Cricetulus griseus: one gene and its partners. The protein of the gene in region 1 interacts with the protein of each later gene in a biochemical or structural test. Links are inferred from orthologs where the notes say so. Each region holds a gene or a part of one and is shown on either strand. Other genes may lie near its edges. The genes, in order: Rptor, Akt1s1, Mapk1 and Rps6kb1.

Region 1 (4,770 bases):
AAGCTGGCCCTGGTGATGCACATCTGTAATAACTAGCATTCCAGGAGACTAAAGCAAGAAGACTGCTGCAAGCTTGGTGCCAGCCTGGGTTATGCAGCAAGTACCAAGGCAGCAGCCACAACCATGACACAAGGGCCATCTCAAATAAACAGACTTTCTGGCTTACAGGAAAGAGCTCACTGAGGCCCAAGTGCCTCATCAATGAACACATCCTTCCAGAAAAGGCACCAGACACTAAGTCAGCCAACCTGTGGCATCTGTCTTTAAGCATGAGACACTCTCCTAACCTGCCCAGTTTCGTTCATTCACAACACCTTCCAACTCGTGTGGCCATTCAATCTTGCAGCCTCTATTCAGGAGACCCTGTGACACCAAGTCTCACAAACTTACTGAAAATGTCAGCTGACAATTTTCCTCTTCACTGAACAATTTGAAAAGGCCAGAGGCAGCAAACTTTCTTCCCTGATCTTCTAAGTAGCAAGTCAGGAGTTACTAAGAACTTACATTCCCCCCACCCCCACCCCAGGCAGGTTTCCCTGTAGACCAGGCAGGTCTCAAACACAGAAACTGGCCTGCCTCTGCCTCCAAGATGCTGGGATTAAAGGTCACCACCCAGCAAAACAAACACACACACACTTTAATGATAGGTGTTCTGCCCCCAGTGGTGGCGCACACCTTTGATCCCAGCACTCGGGAGGCAGAGTTAGGTGGATCTGAGTTCGAGGTCAGCCTGGTCCTCAAAGCTACACAGAGAAACCCTGTCTCGAAAAATCAATAATAATAATAATAATAATAATAATAATAATAATAACAACAACAACAACAACAATAGGGGTTTGCCTGCACGCACATAACTCTTGAGCTTGATTCCCAGCACCAATAAAACTTGACATGATGGTGCACACCCCACCCCAGGATCAGAAACTCAGGGTCATTCCTGACAACATGGCAAGCCAGCCTGGACTACGAGAAACCCAGCCTCAAAAATAAAAAAAAAAAAAGAAATTAAAAAGTAATGCCTACATTAAAGTGCAGCCTAGTGGTGGTGGTGGTGGTAGGGCCACACGCCTTTAATCCCAGCACCAGGAGGCACAGGCAGGTGGATCTCTGTGAGTTCGAGGCCAGCCTGGTCTACAGAGCGAGTTCCAGGACAGCCAAGGTTACATACACATCAGTTTAAGTGCAGGTTTAGGGGGCAACAGAAACCACATTTCTAAAGAACAGAAAAAAATTTAAGTGAAAACTTCACCTAGAATTTAAAAAAAGAGTTGCTTTAAAACAAATTTTATATATGCATTGCAACCAAAACATTATCTCGTCATAACTAGTTATCTCGTCATAACTAGTAACCCAAGTTACTAGTTATGTCCATAAAACGGGCTTTTTATGCAATCTCTCTAAACCATCAGTTTATTATCTGTATTGTTCTTCTTTGCCACAAGGTTTACACTCAGTAGTACAGGCTAGCCTGGAACTGACTGTGACACTCCTGCTTTAGCCTGCAGAGTGTCAAACATGCCCAATCTAAACTGCTTTTGAATGAACTTTTGTTTGTTTGTTGTTTGTTTGTTTGTTTGTTTTTTTGAGACAGGGTTTCTCTGTATTGCTTTGGAGGTTGTCCTGGAACTCACTCTGTAGACCAGGCTGGCCTCGAACTCACAGAGACCTGCCTGCCTCTGCCACCCGAGTGCTGGGATTACAGGCCTGCGCCACCACCGCCCAGCTTGATTGAATTTTTATAACCTAAAATTCAACCCAATCAATAACCAAAACATTGGTTACTTCTAGAACTATGTTAAGTGTTTGACATCATGCACCTTTTTAAAACAACCGCCTCCTGTAAAAATACACATAAACTATAAACAAATGATGCGTGACAACAGCAATTTCCTCTTTTATACTGAAAAGTTCACAGGAATCAAAGAAGCCTGGCAGGAGTAAACAGTAAAGGCAAACTGAGAGTGCCCCCCTTTTGTTAGACTATTAGAGGGTGGAAAGACGAGCTCAGCAGAGCTGAAGCTGTCTCATGACACTCCAACACCATGAGAGCTGCCTAGAACCTGAACCCAAGTTCCAACCTCTGGGGAGAGTCTCTTCCACTGAAGACACAGCAGCAAGAAGTCACATACACGGGGAGTCACGCTTCCAAACAAACCGTTTGTAGGACTGGGATGGAGCGCGCTGCAACTACCTTGTCAAGTACCCTGTTTCCTGGCACTTTGCACCAGACAGCTGTCCTGGCTATTTCAAAAACCAGACCACAAAAGCAGACTAATTGCGCGGGTTCATGTCTTATTTCCCAAACTGTCTTTCCTCTAAGTGTTACTAAGTATATTAAAAGACACATAAGCATCTGCGGTACAATTAGCTCTTAATTTGATTTTTTTTCCCTGAATTAAAAACTTCATCTGAATTCACGAAGTAACCTCTTGGCCATACCAGCCACGTACATCTACGTTCAACCAAAACCGGAGTCTGGAGCAGCTGCTGGGTTTTAGTTTAACATGCCGCACGTGGCTTCCAGATACTACCACCCCCCCACCCCACCCCCAAGAAGCTGTCCTTGCTCAGGACTTTGTGACTCTGAGAAACTTTCCAGGTCCGGGAGGCGGATGCCATGGGGACCACTTACCCGATCCTTCATTCTCCAGCTCTGCGCTAAAGACTTGGAGCCTTCAATTTTCTCGCAGTGTCTCTTCTTCATAAAAGCCAGAGGCAGGTTCCAGTCTGTCACGTCGGCCTCCTCGTCCTCCCCGAGTCCCACCAGAGGCGACGGCAGCATCTCCGCCTCCATCGGGGGGAGGGGGAGGGGGGTCCGGGGCAGCAAGCGCTCAAGGACCTCCAGCCTGAACAGCTCGTGGGGCCCAAGCCGAGGGGCCAGACTCGGCGGCGGGGAGCCGGGGTGCGCGGAGCCGGGGTGCGCGGAGCCGGGGCGCGGGCGGGAGGCGCGGGAGGGGGTTCCAAGGAGGGGCTCTCGCTCGGGATCGCCAACTCCGGGCGGGAAGTCGGTCGGAGGGGGCGGCGGGCGGGGCGGGCGCCCGGGCGCCGGGCCGCTCGGCGGCGCGCTCGGGCCTGGGGTGACCCTGCTCTCGGCGGATCCGGGGCCGCAGGCCGCCCGCTCGCGGGACAGGCCTCGGGGTCGGGCTCCGGCGGTTCGGGCTCAGGCCGCCGCGCTCAGCCCTGCGGGTCCCGCACTCGCCTGAGGGGCTGCAACCTGAGGCGGGACCGGCCCATCGCGCCCGCCCGCAGCCGGCTCCTCAGCCCCCGGTCCCCGCGGCCTGGCCGGCGCCGGCCCTCGGCTTCGCGGCTCCCTCCTGCCCGGGAACGAGGCCCGAGACTCGCGCGACACGGGCCCGCGAGCCACACGGGAGAAGCGGGCTGAGGAGGTCGGGGGAGTTTTGCCCTCTGCTCTGGAGCAACAGTGAAACTCCTCTCATCAGCACGTCAAGGAGGACGCCATGTTGCCCGGGACCCAGCATGCACCGCTGCCGACGGCGTGTCCAATGTGCCAAACCTCTTCGAGCGTTCTCGCCGCTCGACCCGAAAGAGGGCCGAGCTCTCAGGGTGCCGCCCTCCCCGCCCCCCACTCCGTTACCGGGGTTACCACGTCCTTTCCCCTTAGCTGATCTCGGTTGGCTCCCGGGACTGGTGTTACAAAAATCAATCCTGCCGTTGAAGCCATGCCCGCTCGGAGATCTTTAAGAGCTTTTGCTACTACAAGCACAGCCATGTCCTTTATATTAAAGTAAAAGGCCACTCTGTTTCGTCCTGATTTTAAAAGGTGGTTTAAGAAAAAAAAAAAAATCAGAAAGAACCATTGATAGTAGACACATAAAACTGGGGTCCTTTTTTGTTTGGTTTGGTTTTTGTTTTTTCAAGACAGGGTTTCTCTCTGTGTAGCCCTGGCTGTCCTGGGAATCGCTCTGGAGACCAGGCTAGCCTCGAACTCACAGAGCAGAGATCCACCTGCCTCTGCCTGCGGAGTGCTGGCATTAAAGGCGTGTGCCACCACTGTCCGGTGGGACTTTCTTTTTAATATTTCCATTTTTAAAAGGAGAAAGATGGCGCAGTGGTGGCAGCACAGTCCTGGCTGTCCTGGAACTCACCCTGTAGACCAGGCTGACCTCAAACTCGCAGAGCTCCTCCTATCTATCGGGATTAAAGGTGAGCGCCACCACCACCAGTTTTGATTATGAATTTTTGTCTCATCTATCTTTTGTCTGGGCAGTTTATACTTATCTTGCTACAGCTTCGTGTACAAATGACTAAAGCTCCCGCTGTCTGCTCACTGAAGCAAGCCTCGTGCAGTACCTGCTCTCTTCCAATTCAGTAAATCTGTTATTGACATATCCTGAGAACTATGATGGTGCAACGGGAATATAAATTAAACATGACATGTGGTGTCAGCCTTGCAGAACCAGGGTGCTTACTGAGACACTCTTAACCTTTAGCTACAGTTCAGGCAGGCAAAGGCGCCCATCTCATCTCTGCCTTGGGCTTTGGCATTGGAGGAGCCTCTATTAGAGTCAGTGTTACCAGTTTCAAGCTGTGTGACCTCAGTCTTAGGTTTCTGGACTGTAAAGTTTGGATGGTAAGATTAAAGAATATTACTGAAAGGATAAAATAAGCTTGTGAATACGCTTAGGTCAGTCTAGGCTACAGAGTAAGTCCCTGGTTTGGTTTGGTTTGGTTTGGTTTGGTTTGGTTTGGTTTCTCGACACAGGGTTTCTCTATGAATCTCTGGCTGTCCCTGGTTTGGTTTGGTTTGGT
Region 2 (4,774 bases), on another chromosome or scaffold:
GAATTGATGTTAACTCCTGTGACTACTAAACCCATCTCCCTGTTGCTTGAATGGCAGATGTGCGCCACGGGGCTGGCCTTCACTCCTCTGAGACAGCAAAGGAAACCAGCATTTGTCCCTAGCATTGGAAGCCTGTGGCCCCTTCACACTCTTCCTTTGTTCGATGATGCTGGGTTCTCTGCTGTAAAACGGAATGATCACTCCCACCTCGTGGGGCAAATACACTAAAGCTGAGCATGACGGGGTAGATGGGAAATACTGCCCAAAGATTAAGGATGCAGTACAGGCCACAAAGTGAAACTGTCTCAAAAGGAAAAATAAGAGGCTGGAGGGATAGCTCAGAGGTTAAGAGCACTGGCTGCTCTTCCAGAGGTCCTGAGTTCAATTCCCAGCAACCACATGGTGGCTCACAACCATCTGTAATGTAGTCTGGTGCCCTCTCTGGCCTGCAGGGATACATGCAGGCAGAACAGTGTATACATAATAAAAAAAAAAAAAAAAAGGAAAAATAAAAGGGAGGCGACCCATATGACTAGTTTGAAGGTGACAAACAGCCCACCCTCACCCCTGCCCTTCGAACAGTGGGAGATGGAGGTTCCCAGCCTGGCTTTCCACCCACTTCCACCATCATGCTTCTGAAAACCAGATTTTTCACCTGTCACAGAATGCTGTCTCAAACCCCGAACTTTTTATTTGCAGGAGAGCCTCAGAGTAACACTCACACAGTAAATACCACACACTCACTAGAGTTGAACTTTAATCTCAGAGCGCCCCTCCCGACTCCTGGCCCCCACCCTACTCTCCCGCACCCAGGGCCAGGGCCGGAGAGTGGGGCCCCCTCCCATGGGTGGGAGAGGGCCCTTTAAGGCACCTGTTTGGGTCGTGGGGGAGAGGGGGTCGGGGGCAGGAAGCTGGTACCGTCCTGGGTGCAGGACAGACTTTGATGGACAGGCAGTAGTTGGGTGGAACCTATGGGGGCGTCAGACGCAAAAAAGCAGGCCCCGACTATCCCCGTGGGGAACCGGATACAAGTGTCAGGCAAAAACAAAAACAAAACCCAGCCCTAGTAGTGTAACAAACTCAAGGCCTCTGACCAGTTCTGGGTTCCGGAGGGCTTGGCCACACCCCCAGGAGGCCAGGGCCAATGGGATGGGGAGTTCAAGAAGGGCGGCCTGCGACTCTCCGGACTTGGGCGGAGCCACCACCTGGTCCCGCCGCTGGGCTCCGCTCTTGGGCAGGAGCCCAGGATATGCGGGTAAAGCTTCTGTTGCTAGGCAAGAAACGGAGTTGGAGTTGACCCACTGAGCGTTTTAGAACTAGCCCTACTCCAAACCGGAGCGAGCCAATCCCGTAAAGAATTGTCTTGTTGCTGGGCAGAGCAAGGCTCGAAAACCCAATGGCCTTTCTCCGGCCGCTCAGTATTTCCGCTTCAGCTTCTGGAAATCGCTGGTGTTGAGCCGCGGCCGCGGCAGGTCTCCGAAGACCTGGGTGTCCTCGGCCTCCCGCAGCACCAATGCCCGCATGCTAGCGGCGATTCGGTCCAGGTCGGGCGAAGAGGGCTGCGAAGGGAGGAAACGCTCAGTGGCGCAGGGCAGCGGGCAGGGCAGGTGCCGCCTCCCAGCCTCCCAGAAACCCTCTTGCCCGGATTGTCCCACAGGCTATGGGCTTGAACCCCGCGGGGCGTCATACGGGGAGGGACCTGGTCCTGGGAGGCTGGAGGAAGTTATGTGTTCCCCTCAGTGTCTTGTTTTCCCCTCTGCCTCAGGGAGTTTTCTGTGAAGGAAGGATCAGGCCAGCACAGCCTGAGAGGGCCACACACACGGAATGGTGTTGGGAGAAAGGAATCTTGGGAGCTAATCTGACCCTGAGCCTGTTTGCCTATCTGACCCCCCCCCCCAAAAAAAAAAAACTATTTTGGACAGACAAGGGGCCTTCTTCCTAAAGCACAGTGGGGTCTTGGGATTGAGAAGAGAGCCACATTAGCCAAGGCAGGGGGCTCCCTGCAGCAGGCCACTCTGGCCCATCCCACCTGTCTCGCCCCCCCCCCCTCACCGGGCCGTTTTCCTCATCTGACGATCGCGCTTCTGTCCTCTTCTCCTTGAAGGCCCACACTGGCACTGACACTGGTAGAGACTTAGCGTACTGCTGGGTGGGCAGGGCTGAGGCTGGCGGCTTGGGGCACGCTGGGGGACCGGCGGGGGTCTCCTCACTCAAGCTGCCGTCTGTGATACAGGGAGGCTTCAGCTTCTGTCCCTCTACCCCTGGCCTGGCCTCCTAAGGCTTGGACAACCCAGGATCCTCACCATCTGTGCTCTCCGGGTCTGACTCGCAGAAGGGGGGCAGGTCCTGCAGAGTGGCATCCTCATCCATCATGAAGAGTCCTGTGGGTGGGACAGGCCTCAACATTCTTCATTTGCTGTCTGGTTACTCAGGCCCCTTCCATATCAGGAGCCCACTACTATCTTCAACATGGAACTTTTTTTCTTTTTTCTTTTTTTTTTTGGTTTTTCGAGACAGGGTTTCTCTGTGTAGCTTTGGAGCCTATCCTGGCACTCGCTCTGGAGACCAGGCTGGCCTCGAACTCACAGAGATCCACCTGCCTCTGCCTCCCGAGTGCTGGGATTAAAGGCGTGCGCCACCAACGCCCGGCCTGAAACCTCTTTTAAGATCTGCTTGGGACAATGTAACCCAAAGTAGTTTTTAAAAAAAGAAAAAAAAAAAAAAAGGTGGTCTGGTAGGGAGAAATGAAAGACTCTTTGGCCATACCACTGGCTCCAGAGCCCATACTCTTCATGACATACTGGCTTTCTCAGGAAGGATGAGGTGACCAGCAGTAAGCATTGATAGCAAATAAGTAATTCCTATACCCTCAAAGCCCTGCGGTTACAATACAGTCTCTAAATCCAGCTGCCCAATGTGGATTCCATGGGGCATGGGAGATGCCTGAGCCCAACATCACGTAAAGAAAGGGTGCCTGGAACCTCCTGGCTTCCTCTGCTGTCGCAGTACCCCCCCCCCCTGCAAACTTCTCCACCCTTCACGAATGGGCCAGCAGCCGCTACGCTTTCTTTCCAGAGACACCTGCATCTCTCAGAGAACCATGCTCTAGTTCCTTGGCCAGACCAGAAGCCCTCAAGGAAGCCGTTTGTTCAACATATCGTGTTATGTGCTGTTGGACCTTGTGTGTGGCTGCTAGGGAGTACTGTCATAAGGATGCATTAGGACAACCAGCAACCCCATCCCAGCACCAACCCCACCAGCTCACCTCCATTATCACTACCGCCCAGCCGCTCCCCAGAGGTCTCTGTCTCAGTGGGCTCGTCCTCATCTTCCTCATCATCATCCTTGGCCAGGGCTGGTTGATGTGGAGGGCTAGAAGCAGGGCTGGGCGGCTGTGGTGCTGGTGGGGGGCCAGGCCGGGTGGCAGTAGCAGCCCTGTGTGCCTGTGCGATGTCGTGGAGGCAGCGGCGGGCGGCCTCTGCCAGGGCCCCGCGGCCATGGGCGGCATAGGCACAGGGCCCTGGGCGAGGTGGCGGCGGTGGCGCTGCAGTCAGCAACACCAGCTCTGTGCCAGTACGGGCCCGGAAGCGCTCGGCGGCCCCCACGACCGCATCCCACAGTTCCTCCGGCCGCCCAGACGCCATCCGCGCCCTGTGGGCCAGAGCAGGACAGAGGGGCTGAGGCGGCGCTGCTGCTACTGTCGCTACCAACCATGAGGGTTGACTGCCCCAATGTAACTCCCCTCCCACAGCATGCATGCGCCCCAGCTGAGCTCCACCCCTTTCCCAAGTAGGCTTCCTCTGGGACCTATATTAGCCACCATCAAGTCCAGCCCTAGGTTTCATCTTGGCCCCATCCTGTTCCAAACAGGAGCCAAAGTCTTGAGTCTTCATCTTTGTTGGTCATGGGCACTGTAGCCAAGCTAGTTTATGGTTATTTCAGTTTGGGTTCTTCCTATTTTTTCAGACAGGGTCTGAAATTGGTGGTTGGCCACAAATTCACTACGTGGACAAAGGTGACTTTGAAGTCCTGATTCTCATGTATCCAATGCCTGAGTGCTGGGGTTACACATGCACACCACACACCTGGTTTATGTGGTGCTGAGAACTAAACCCAGAACTTCATGAGTGCTGGCAAGCACCAACTAAGCTGCATCAAAGCCTGTGTACTTTTTAAGACAGGGCTGGCAGGTAGCCTTAGCAATCCTCCCTCCTCTGCTACCCAAGTAGCTGGAATTAAAGGTGTGAAGTACCACACAGCCAGCCTGATCAAAGTCTTTGAAGACTCACATGAATATCATGTGCACCTTTTTCCATGGCATGTAGGATGTTAATACACATTTGAGCCAGGCATGGTGGCATACACCTGAAATCCCAACACTCAGAGGCTGAGGCAAGACTGTCATGGCTTTGAGGTCAGCCTCAGACACAGACTGGTCTCAATGAAAACCACAGGTGACTTTGATGGTTTCTGTAGCACAACACGCAGGCCACTGCCAGGCCACCATCTTTCACTTGGTCCAGCAGGCCTCTTTCAGTGCAGTGGAACCCTGCCCTCTAGAGTTTTTAGGATCAGATGTATCCCACACTCAGCTCATTGGCCTTCAGGTCATTTGATGAGGGAGATGCTCCCTCCCCAGCTCCCCATTAGGCTTTCAGGGTCACATTCTCTCTCTCTCTCTCTCTCTCTCTCTCTCTCTCTCTCTCTCTCTCTCTTGTTTTTCGAGACAGGGTTTCTCTGTATTGTTTTGAAGGCTGTCCTGGGAACTTGCTCC
Region 3 (4,252 bases), on another chromosome or scaffold:
GTAGGTCCTGCAGTAACAATACACTAGGTAGAATTCTTTCTAAAACTTTTGTAATCTAAAATACCTGTTGCTCTGGGCCAACCTAAGTAATGGGAACAATGAAAAACCCAAACAATAACACAGATATATTATGAGCAATTGGGGCCTCCTGGGAGAATGGCTGTTCTAGGTCTGGGACAGGGACTATATATAGAAGACAGTCTTGGAGCAGCTGCTGTCCAAAGCTGCTGGGGAGGGAGAGGTCTACATCCCATTCAGAGTACAATATAACTTGAGAACAAATAATAGAGAACACTAAAACACAAAAGGAAAGATGGTTATGTTACCACCAAGAGTAAGAGAAACATTTGAGAGTTTGATGAAAAGAAAATTTCACAGTCAAACTATTTTCCCTCCAATTACTCTTATCTGCAGTGTTCTGGAATGACCTAGAAATTGCACATGAGCATCACCCACCATCAGCACGAATAGCCTTGCCTTCTAATATGCTCAAGTTAGTACTGTTTCTGTGCATGCACATTAAAGACATGGCATAAAAGTCAAGTCCTAAGACAGCGCTACATTCCTCATAGATAGCGTGGGTTAGAGCAGGTCATATGCTGTTCACAGTCACAGTGGGTAGCTCACATCACTGCCTGCAATTCCAGCTCCCGAGGATGCAATGCATAAACCCACACAGACACACAACAACAAAACCAAAATGCCTACCAGAAAAAACAAAACAAAACAAACAAACAAAAAAAAAAACCCAGCAAACCCAAATGGAAGCTCAATGTCCTGAGCAGTCCTCAATTTTGCTAACTGGCTTATAGTTCTAACACAGAATTCATGCTTCATAACAGCCCAGACTGGCCTTAAACTTGTGGCAACGCTCCTACCTTTGCTCCATAGTGCTGGGATTATGTCTGCCTGCTTCGCCCGGCACCCAATTGCTCCTTTTCCTGCTGTTTGAGAGAAGGTCTCTCTCTTCATAGCCTGAGTTGCCCTAGAACTTGCTATGCAGAATCATAAAGATCTGCTTGCCCCTACCTCCTGAATGCCAGGATCAAAGGTATGTACCACATATTACCACAATCCAGATTGTTGGGTTTTTGTTTTGTTTTATTTTTCTCTGTGTAGCGCTGGCTGTCCTAGAATTTGCTTTGGAGACCAGACTGACCTTGAACTAACAGAGTGCAGCCTGCCTCTACCTCCTGAGTTTTGGGATTAAAGACCAGGTTTTGCTGGCAGAGTTTGGATGACCAGGATACACTCTTCACAAAAATCTAGTGAAAAGGAGGAAGGATTTCATTTTGAAACATGTCTACCCTGTAATTTCAAGAGTCCATAGTGGTTTCTATTTTTTCTACACCTAGTGCCTTAGGACTACAGACAAGGGTGGATACAGACATTTATGGTCACCATGACTCAAGATAGTAAACCCTAAGGCCCAAAAGTTCAATTCTGAGAAAAAGATAGCACTCTGGCTCTGGCCAGATATACCAGACTGAAGGATGGAGACCAAGGTTTACAGCTATTGTTTCTTTTTCTTACCTTGGAATTCAACATAATTTCTGGAGCTCTGTACCAACGTGTGGCTACGTACTCTGTCAAGAACCCTGTGTGATCATGATCCGGATCTGCAACACGGGCAAGGCCAAAGTCACAGATCTAAGGGGAAAAAATGTGGACACCTTCTTAGAGATACACTATGAAAATAAAAAAGGCAATTGCAACACCAAAGATTACAAGCGTATGCTACCAATACTACACTAGACACCTTTCTAGTACAAGCTCATCATTCTCAAGTGATGACAGACCTTATGTTGGAGGTAAGGAAACAGGCACAACCTGACAACCATGTTTACATCCCACCACCATCAGTCATTAAGTGCACAGCACTCACTCAGGTGATTTGAGAAAAACTATCTTAGTCGGGCTGGAGAGCTGTGCATTTCAACAGTGAAAAAAGCACAGACTTCTCTCTCAGAGGACCCGAGTAATCACCAATATCCACATTGAGTGACTCACAATTGCCTATAAATTCCAAGTGATCTGACACTCTCTTCTGGCCTCCTTGGGCACTGACATACTACGATGTACAGACATATAAACAAACATAGAAATAAAATTAAACCTTAAAAACAAAACTGTTAGGATAAAAATCACCAAACCCAGAGCCCTTTACCTCTCCATGCAATTGTGGCTCGAAGAATCACTGGTGGTCTGCTCCTTAATCTGTCTGCCCTGTCCTATTTCTCAGACTCCTATTTCTGGCCAGTTTTCCATTTACTCTAGAACTAATGTTTTGTTTTTACTTCCAAAAATTCTTCTCACTTCCCTACTTTTCACATAGCCAATCCTGATAGTTTTAAAGCTTTCATGTACTGAAGATAAACCATTTGTTCTGAAGTTCATTCATGTATTGTATATGTGTGTGTGTGTGGTGGTCAGGAGGATGACTTTCAGAAGAAGTTGACTCTCTCCTTCTATTATGTGGGTTCCAGGTATTAAACTCAGGTCATCTGGCTTTATCACTGTCATCCACCATTGCTGTGTGTGGCACCTAGTTTCTCACATTCTGAATCCCAGGACTCTTACCATCTAGCTGTCTTAATACTGTGATGCTACTTGGGTCAGCTGCCTTACAGACTCCAGTGTATATTAAATACTTAGGTCAATTTTACATATAAGTGAAAATAATCTCTGGTCTCCAGGAAACCAATGCAAGAAAGAGACAGCTTAAGAGATGGAACACAGTACAGTAGAAGGCCATTTGGAAGACAAATCAATATGGAGGCTTCACTGTCCTAAGTCAGCTGAAAATCAAGGTCCGGCACTTAAGTTCAACAGTAAAAGACTGGTTAATGATAACAATGCATCGGAAAACCTCCAGGAGAAACGGTGATTTTTTTTTTTAAAGATTTATTTATTTATTATGTATACAGTGTTCTGCCTGCATGTATGTCTGTAGGTCAGAAGAGGGCACCAGATTTCACTACAGATGATTGGGAGCCACCATGTGGGAATTGAACCCAGGAATTTTGGAAGAGTAGGCAGTGCTCGTAACCACTGAGCCATCTCTCCAGCCAAACGGCCACTGTTTTTTGTGGACCATTGTGTGTGTGTGTGTGTGTGTGTGTGTGATTTTAAAATTTATTAGTTTTCAAAATTAGTCCATTTTAATGAAAACAATTTGACCAAAATTCTGCCACAGAATTGAGACCCAATAAAACAAGTTTACTGAGAGAAAGAGAAATCAAAAAACCAAGGGCTTAAACTTTGGCCATAAGAGTAGGACAACAAAGAAAGAATAAGTCTAACAGATACAGGACATAGTTATTTGGACCTCTATTTGTTTAGTAATCCCAGAGGGTAACTGAGAAAGACAGACAAAGAAAGACTCCCTGCCACCATTCAAGTATCTTTCTCCAGCTCACTGTGCAGGCCTGGCAGCAGAGCAACACCTTTGTTCTCAAAGAGCTGCACACTTGTTCTGTAGAATGTCACTGTGTTGTCAAAAGAAGTGGGCAGAGCACCCTCTTCTTCACTAACTCTCCTGCAGGCTACTTCCCATGTGGGTTCTCACGCAGGGGAGAGAGAGGAACTCCTGAGGTTCTCCACAATGCATCGTCGTCTCTAGCCTCTCCACTTGGTTTACAAACCCTCATAATGACCCTGAGCCTCCTTTGAAAGACAACTTGCTTGCCAATGAGGCTACAACCCTGATGGTCATATGCTATCAAAGCACTCTGCCAGTGAGATACATTTCTAGCTCAGCTAAGACTATAAATTTTAGTTATTTTTATTATATATTTAAATGTAGATGTGTCAGTGACATGGTGTGTGTACAGAGGTCAGAAGGTAACATTTAGGAATTGGTCATCTCATTGTTCAATACAGGGATCAAATTCAGGTTTTCCACTTTCAAGGGCAGACATTCATCTTCTTGGCTTGGCATACCTAACAAAGCTTCACAAAGAAATGTTCACTTAACTGAAAACTCAAGAAATTATTCCTACACATCTACATATACTTTTTAAAGTTTCTTTACTGAGATATATGCACATAGTTAAAGTATATAATGCTATAGTTTTTAATATTACAGTCACAGGGTTATGCAACCTTAGATCAATAACAAAAAAAATTTTTTTTTTTAACAAATCAGTACTGTTTCCCCTAATGCTGTCAACTATAAACCCACTGTATAGATGTACCACATTTCATCCACAATTAGCTGGACAGTTGATTATTTACATTTTTGTGATACAAA
Region 4 (4,252 bases), about 32 Mb from region 1:
TTTACTTTGGAGCAGTTCTTAAATCTCTCTGTCATTATGCTGACATTTTTAAAAAGAATATATCCCAGTTTCTATAGAATGCCTTCAATTTGGGTTTATTTGATATTTCTTTGGGAGTAGATTCAGGTTATGCATTTTTGATGGGACTGTCCAAGCGACATTGTATTCCTTCTTAGCAGTTCAGAACAGGAGGTACATGGTATTGAGATCTTTGTCCCACTGCTGTTGATGTTTGTTGTGGTCACATGTGTAAGGTGGTGTCTGTCAGGTTTCCCCTCTGGAATTAATAAGCATCTCCTGAGGAGATGCTTTGGGATTACTTGAGTATCTCATCTCATCAGGCTTTTCAGGTCCAGTTTTGGCATCCATTGATTCTTGACTGCAACAGTTAATGTGGTGTTTGCCAAGTGATTTTTCTTACTCCATCATGCCACTTTTACTTATACAGAGCTTTTCTTTCTCCATTGAAAACTTTATCTGTTCATTTATTTTTATCATTATAGGTTCCTGGATTTTAAGATAACTCAGGACAGTATAAACCTTTATTATAATTTACTTTGATACTCAAATTATGCCACTGTCAGGTTCATTCAGTTTATATAAAGGTTCTGATAATGGGGAACAGTTACATTCACTAAAATTTGGGTGAATTAATTATGTACTTTTTTTTTTTTTTTTTTTTACATATCCAAAAGGTGCTAGAAAGACTTCAGTCAAGACTTTTAAACCTTAGGTCTGAAATCTGTATGTATTTTGAAGTTTGCATGTATAAAAACTGGAATTACAAGCCAGTTTTTAAGGAGTTAATCTTATATGTAGAAGAAAGTACAAACTCATTAGAAGAGGGTTGAAGTAAAGATATTTATTACTAATACTTTTCCTTTATAGGAGGAGAACTATTTATGCAGTTAGAAAGAGAGGGAATATTCATGGAAGACACAGCTTGGTAAGTAAAATTTTTGTGGTTGTATGGATTCAGGTAATGTTTCATATAATTAAAAGCAAAACTACATTCCCACTGTGGGCAGCCACACTATTCAATAAGTTGATCTGGAGCCAGTCAGTCACTCAGAAGTCAAGGGGGAACTTTGGGACTGGGCAGCTATTGGAGGTCACGTGATTCCTTTGCCCCCAGGCCTTGGGTGGACCGCTCTTCACTGCAGAATTTCCTTGAATTGGTAAGCTGCTTGTCTTGGTTGTGGGTGAGTGTGGTTTTCCAGTGAAATCTTGTATGTGGAGCAATGGAAAGTATCAGAAATCATCTCCTCTTTTTTTTAGACTTTCCAGTTCCCAAGGTGCAGTCTTAGGGAGGTGATAAACCTGAATACACATCTGTGGATTGATTTTATAGCCAGGATGGGATCTGCCCTCCTATTCGTAAGATGGCATCTACTTCAAATTAAAAATATACACATCCTTTTGTGAAGTGACCGTATTGGGTAACAGTAAATCAGTTTGACATACACATTAATTGAATAGAAAACACTTAAATGTTTTTTCTATCTTAATTACCAAACTGCATTCCATTGTTTAATTTCAGGCCTTTTCTAACACAGAAGCTGCATTTAAGAGCCTTAGGGATGAAGTGCCCTTTTTTGGAGAAGGCTCTCTGAGCCCTGTTGGAGGCTGTGGTCCTGCTGGCTGTGAAACTGCCTCAGTCCTCTAGGACACACCCTCTCCATCCTGGAGTAATCTGCAGGATTGCAACATTGTTACACAGCCAGTATTGCAGTGCTTTGTGCTTTTCGAATCCAGACAGGGGTGATTCAGCCCTTTATTCTTTTGAGGTAGATAAATTTGAGTGTCACACAGTTTATATATAGTTGTGGGCTGGCTGGCAAGAGGGTGGGCAGATACTGTGGGCGTTGCTGTCTATAAATACACAGCTATATTATGTAAGGGATGAGTGGGCTTCCACAGGTCAGGCTATATGGATCAAGACTTGATTTCTGAGAATAAGAAAGTCCCTATTTCCTGTGGAATCTTAAAGTTGGGGGAGGGTGGGAGGAATTTGTTTGATCTGAATGACTGTTGGCCTAATTCCTACACACAGAGAGCAGAACCTAATCAATAATAGTTAGAATAGACAGGACAATTTGCAATTTTAGCAGTATGTTCTAATGGAAAAATAAAACATGGTATAGTTTGACTAAAATGAGTGACAAATGTCCCTCGGCATTGTAGCATCATCCTGTGCCATCTTTTTTTTCCCAGTACATTCTTCCACCCCCACTAATTTGGTCTTTGGTGCATGTCTGTTTCTTTCAAGGAATTTTATTCCATACATAAACTGCTTTGGATAGATTGCTTTTTAAATTTTTATTAAATCACTTCTGTTTCCAGCTTTTACTTGGCTGAAATCTCCATGGCTTTGGGGCATTTACATCAAAAGGGGATCATCTACAGAGACCTGAAGCCGGAGAACATCATGCTCAATCACCAAGGTGGAGCTTTGCCATGAACAGTTCCATAGTAAATAATCTGCTGTCAGTCAGTCCACACAGGTCATGGCCCTTTGCAAGCCTCCTCCCCCCCCCCCTCTGTTGCATATTTCTTCCTCAGAATATGTAACATCGTAAGACTTACTCGTACTTAAAAGTATTTGGTATTTATAACTGAGCCTAAAGAGAGTTAAAGATATTAGCTATTCTTTACAACTTGAAAAAAAAATCTTATATAAAATGTTGTGTCACCAAAGCCAATTCAGATGTTAATTTTGATTTATGCTTTTTTTTTTTGGTTTTTCGAGACAGGGTTTCTCTGTGTAGCTTTGGAGCCTATCCTGGCACTCGCTCTGGAGACCAGGCTGGCCTCGAACTCGCAGAGATCTGCCTGCCTCTACCTCCCGAGTGCTGGGTCTAAAGGCATGCGCCACCAACACCTGGCTTATGCCATTGATTTTTAAAGACAAAAAATGCATAAGTAGTAGAAGCAAAATTTTTTTGTTTTAGACATGGTCTTGCTGTATAGCTGACTGGCACTGAACTTAGGTAGGGTCTTCCTGCTTCAATGTCCCAAGTGTTGGGATTATACATATATGCCACCACCATGCATGTGAAAACAAATTTTTTTATAGTTTTACCTAATGTTTGAGGAAGAAAAAGACTAAAATTGAACCAGATTATTTGATACAGCCCTAGTACAAAATTGTTAATAGGCATAGGTTAATCAGAGAAACTAATATGTTGTACAGTTGCAAAGTGAGTGTTGGCAGCAGCTGCATGTGCTTGCAGCTCCATTTCTGCTGCTGTAGTCTGAACTGGGAAGATTGCAGTTTACTCAAGGAACAAACTAGAAGACGAAGGCATCTTCAAGCTGTGAACAGTTAAGGATCCTTCGCTCTTGATAGAATGACCCTAATTGTCATGAGATAATTAACCAATGTAAACACTTAGGCAGAAAATGGTGGGGCTTATATAAATGTTCTAAATAGTACTTAAAAAAAAAAATGTTTGTAGGGCTGCAGAGATGGCTCAGAGGTTAAGAGCACTGGCTGCTCTTCCAGAGGTTCTGAGTTCAATTGCCAGGAACCACTTGGTGGTTCACAACCATCTGTAATGAGATCTGGTGCCCTCTTCTGGCCTGCAGGGATACATGCAGACAGAACACTGTATACATAACAAATAAATAAATCTTAAAAAAAAAAAAAAAAAAAAAAAGGTTTGTGAGGGACCAGAGAGATGGCTTAGTGGTTAAGAGCATTTGCTGTTCTTGCAAAGTATCTGGGTTTAATTCCCAGTAACCACATGGTGGCTTATAATGTCTGTCCGTGGATTCTGGAACTGGTTTTTACTGGCACCAGGCACATGTGTAGTGTATATATATATACATGTAGGCAAAACATTCATACATTTGAAATTAAAGAAAAAACAAAACTTGTTTTTTTAATGGAAAAATGATAAAATTGACAAAGTACATTATGGGAACCATGTCTGTATTTGTACCTTCCTATCCCAAACTCTAAGATTCTGATTCTGAACTCCTTGTTATTGATTTTGAGGTATTCCTTTAAAATTATTTTTCTGTTCTGGGAGCTGAACCCTTTGTGCATGCTACCACCAAGCTATGGCCCCAACACTTCTGATTCTCAGTTCTAAGTCAAAGGATGGAATAAAGGAATGGTAGAATAGTAAAATAACTTTTTTAATCCATAAATTTGTATATACCATTTTGTTCTATAAGAATAAAGGCTATGTGGCTGGAGAGATGGCTTGAAGGTTAAGAGCACTGACTGTTCTTCCAGAAGTCCTGA

What was found.
Region 2: the proteins of Rptor (region 1) and Akt1s1 interact in a biophysical measurement, tested with the Homo sapiens proteins (2 studies listed by BioGRID and IntAct, with this or other methods). The link is inferred for Cricetulus griseus from reciprocal best matches to the Homo sapiens genes RPTOR and AKT1S1.
Region 3: of the proteins of Rptor (region 1) and Mapk1, one has a biochemical effect on the other in vitro, tested with the Homo sapiens proteins (2 studies listed by BioGRID, with this or other methods). The link is inferred for Cricetulus griseus from reciprocal best matches to the Homo sapiens genes RPTOR and MAPK1.
Region 4: of the proteins of Rptor (region 1) and Rps6kb1, one has a biochemical effect on the other in vitro, tested with the Homo sapiens proteins (6 studies listed by BioGRID and IntAct, with this or other methods). The link is inferred for Cricetulus griseus from reciprocal best matches to the Homo sapiens genes RPTOR and RPS6KB1.

What each region holds. Positions count from the first base shown.
Region 1 is NC_048600.1:132,141,476-132,146,245, reverse strand, and holds the start of Rptor (regulatory-associated protein of mTOR), read right to left. Parts: upstream 3,016-4,770; 5' UTR 2,795-3,015; coding exon 2,633-2,794; intron 1-2,632. UniProt on the Homo sapiens protein: Component of the mechanistic target of rapamycin complex 1 (mTORC1), an evolutionarily conserved central nutrient sensor that stimulates anabolic reactions and macromolecule biosynthesis to promote cellular biomass generation and growth.
Region 2 is NC_048599.1:153,689,546-153,694,319, reverse strand, and holds the end of Akt1s1 (proline-rich AKT1 substrate 1), read right to left. Parts: intron 3,652-4,774; coding exon 3,266-3,651; intron 2,382-3,265; coding exon 2,304-2,381; intron 2,223-2,303; coding exon 2,053-2,222; intron 1,560-2,052; coding exon 1,416-1,559; 3' UTR 740-1,415; downstream 1-739. UniProt on the Homo sapiens protein: Negative regulator of the mechanistic target of rapamycin complex 1 (mTORC1), an evolutionarily conserved central nutrient sensor that stimulates anabolic reactions and macromolecule biosynthesis to promote cellular biomass generation and growth.
Region 3 is NC_048597.1:72,314,465-72,318,716, forward strand, and holds part of Mapk1 (mitogen-activated protein kinase 1), read right to left. Parts: intron 1,651-4,252; coding exon 1,534-1,650; intron 1-1,533. UniProt on the Homo sapiens protein: Serine/threonine kinase which acts as an essential component of the MAP kinase signal transduction pathway. MAPK1/ERK2 and MAPK3/ERK1 are the 2 MAPKs which play an important role in the MAPK/ERK cascade.
Region 4 is NC_048600.1:99,765,388-99,769,639, reverse strand, and holds part of Rps6kb1 (ribosomal protein S6 kinase beta-1), read left to right. Parts: intron 1-888; coding exon 889-946; intron 947-1,135; exon of another isoform or gene 1,136-1,178; intron 1,179-1,278; exon of another isoform or gene 1,279-1,377; intron 1,378-1,540; coding exon of another isoform or gene 1,541-1,613; exon of another isoform or gene 1,614-1,787; intron 1,788-2,343; coding exon 2,344-2,444; intron 2,445-4,252. UniProt on the Homo sapiens protein: Serine/threonine-protein kinase that acts downstream of mTOR signaling in response to growth factors and nutrients to promote cell proliferation, cell growth and cell cycle progression.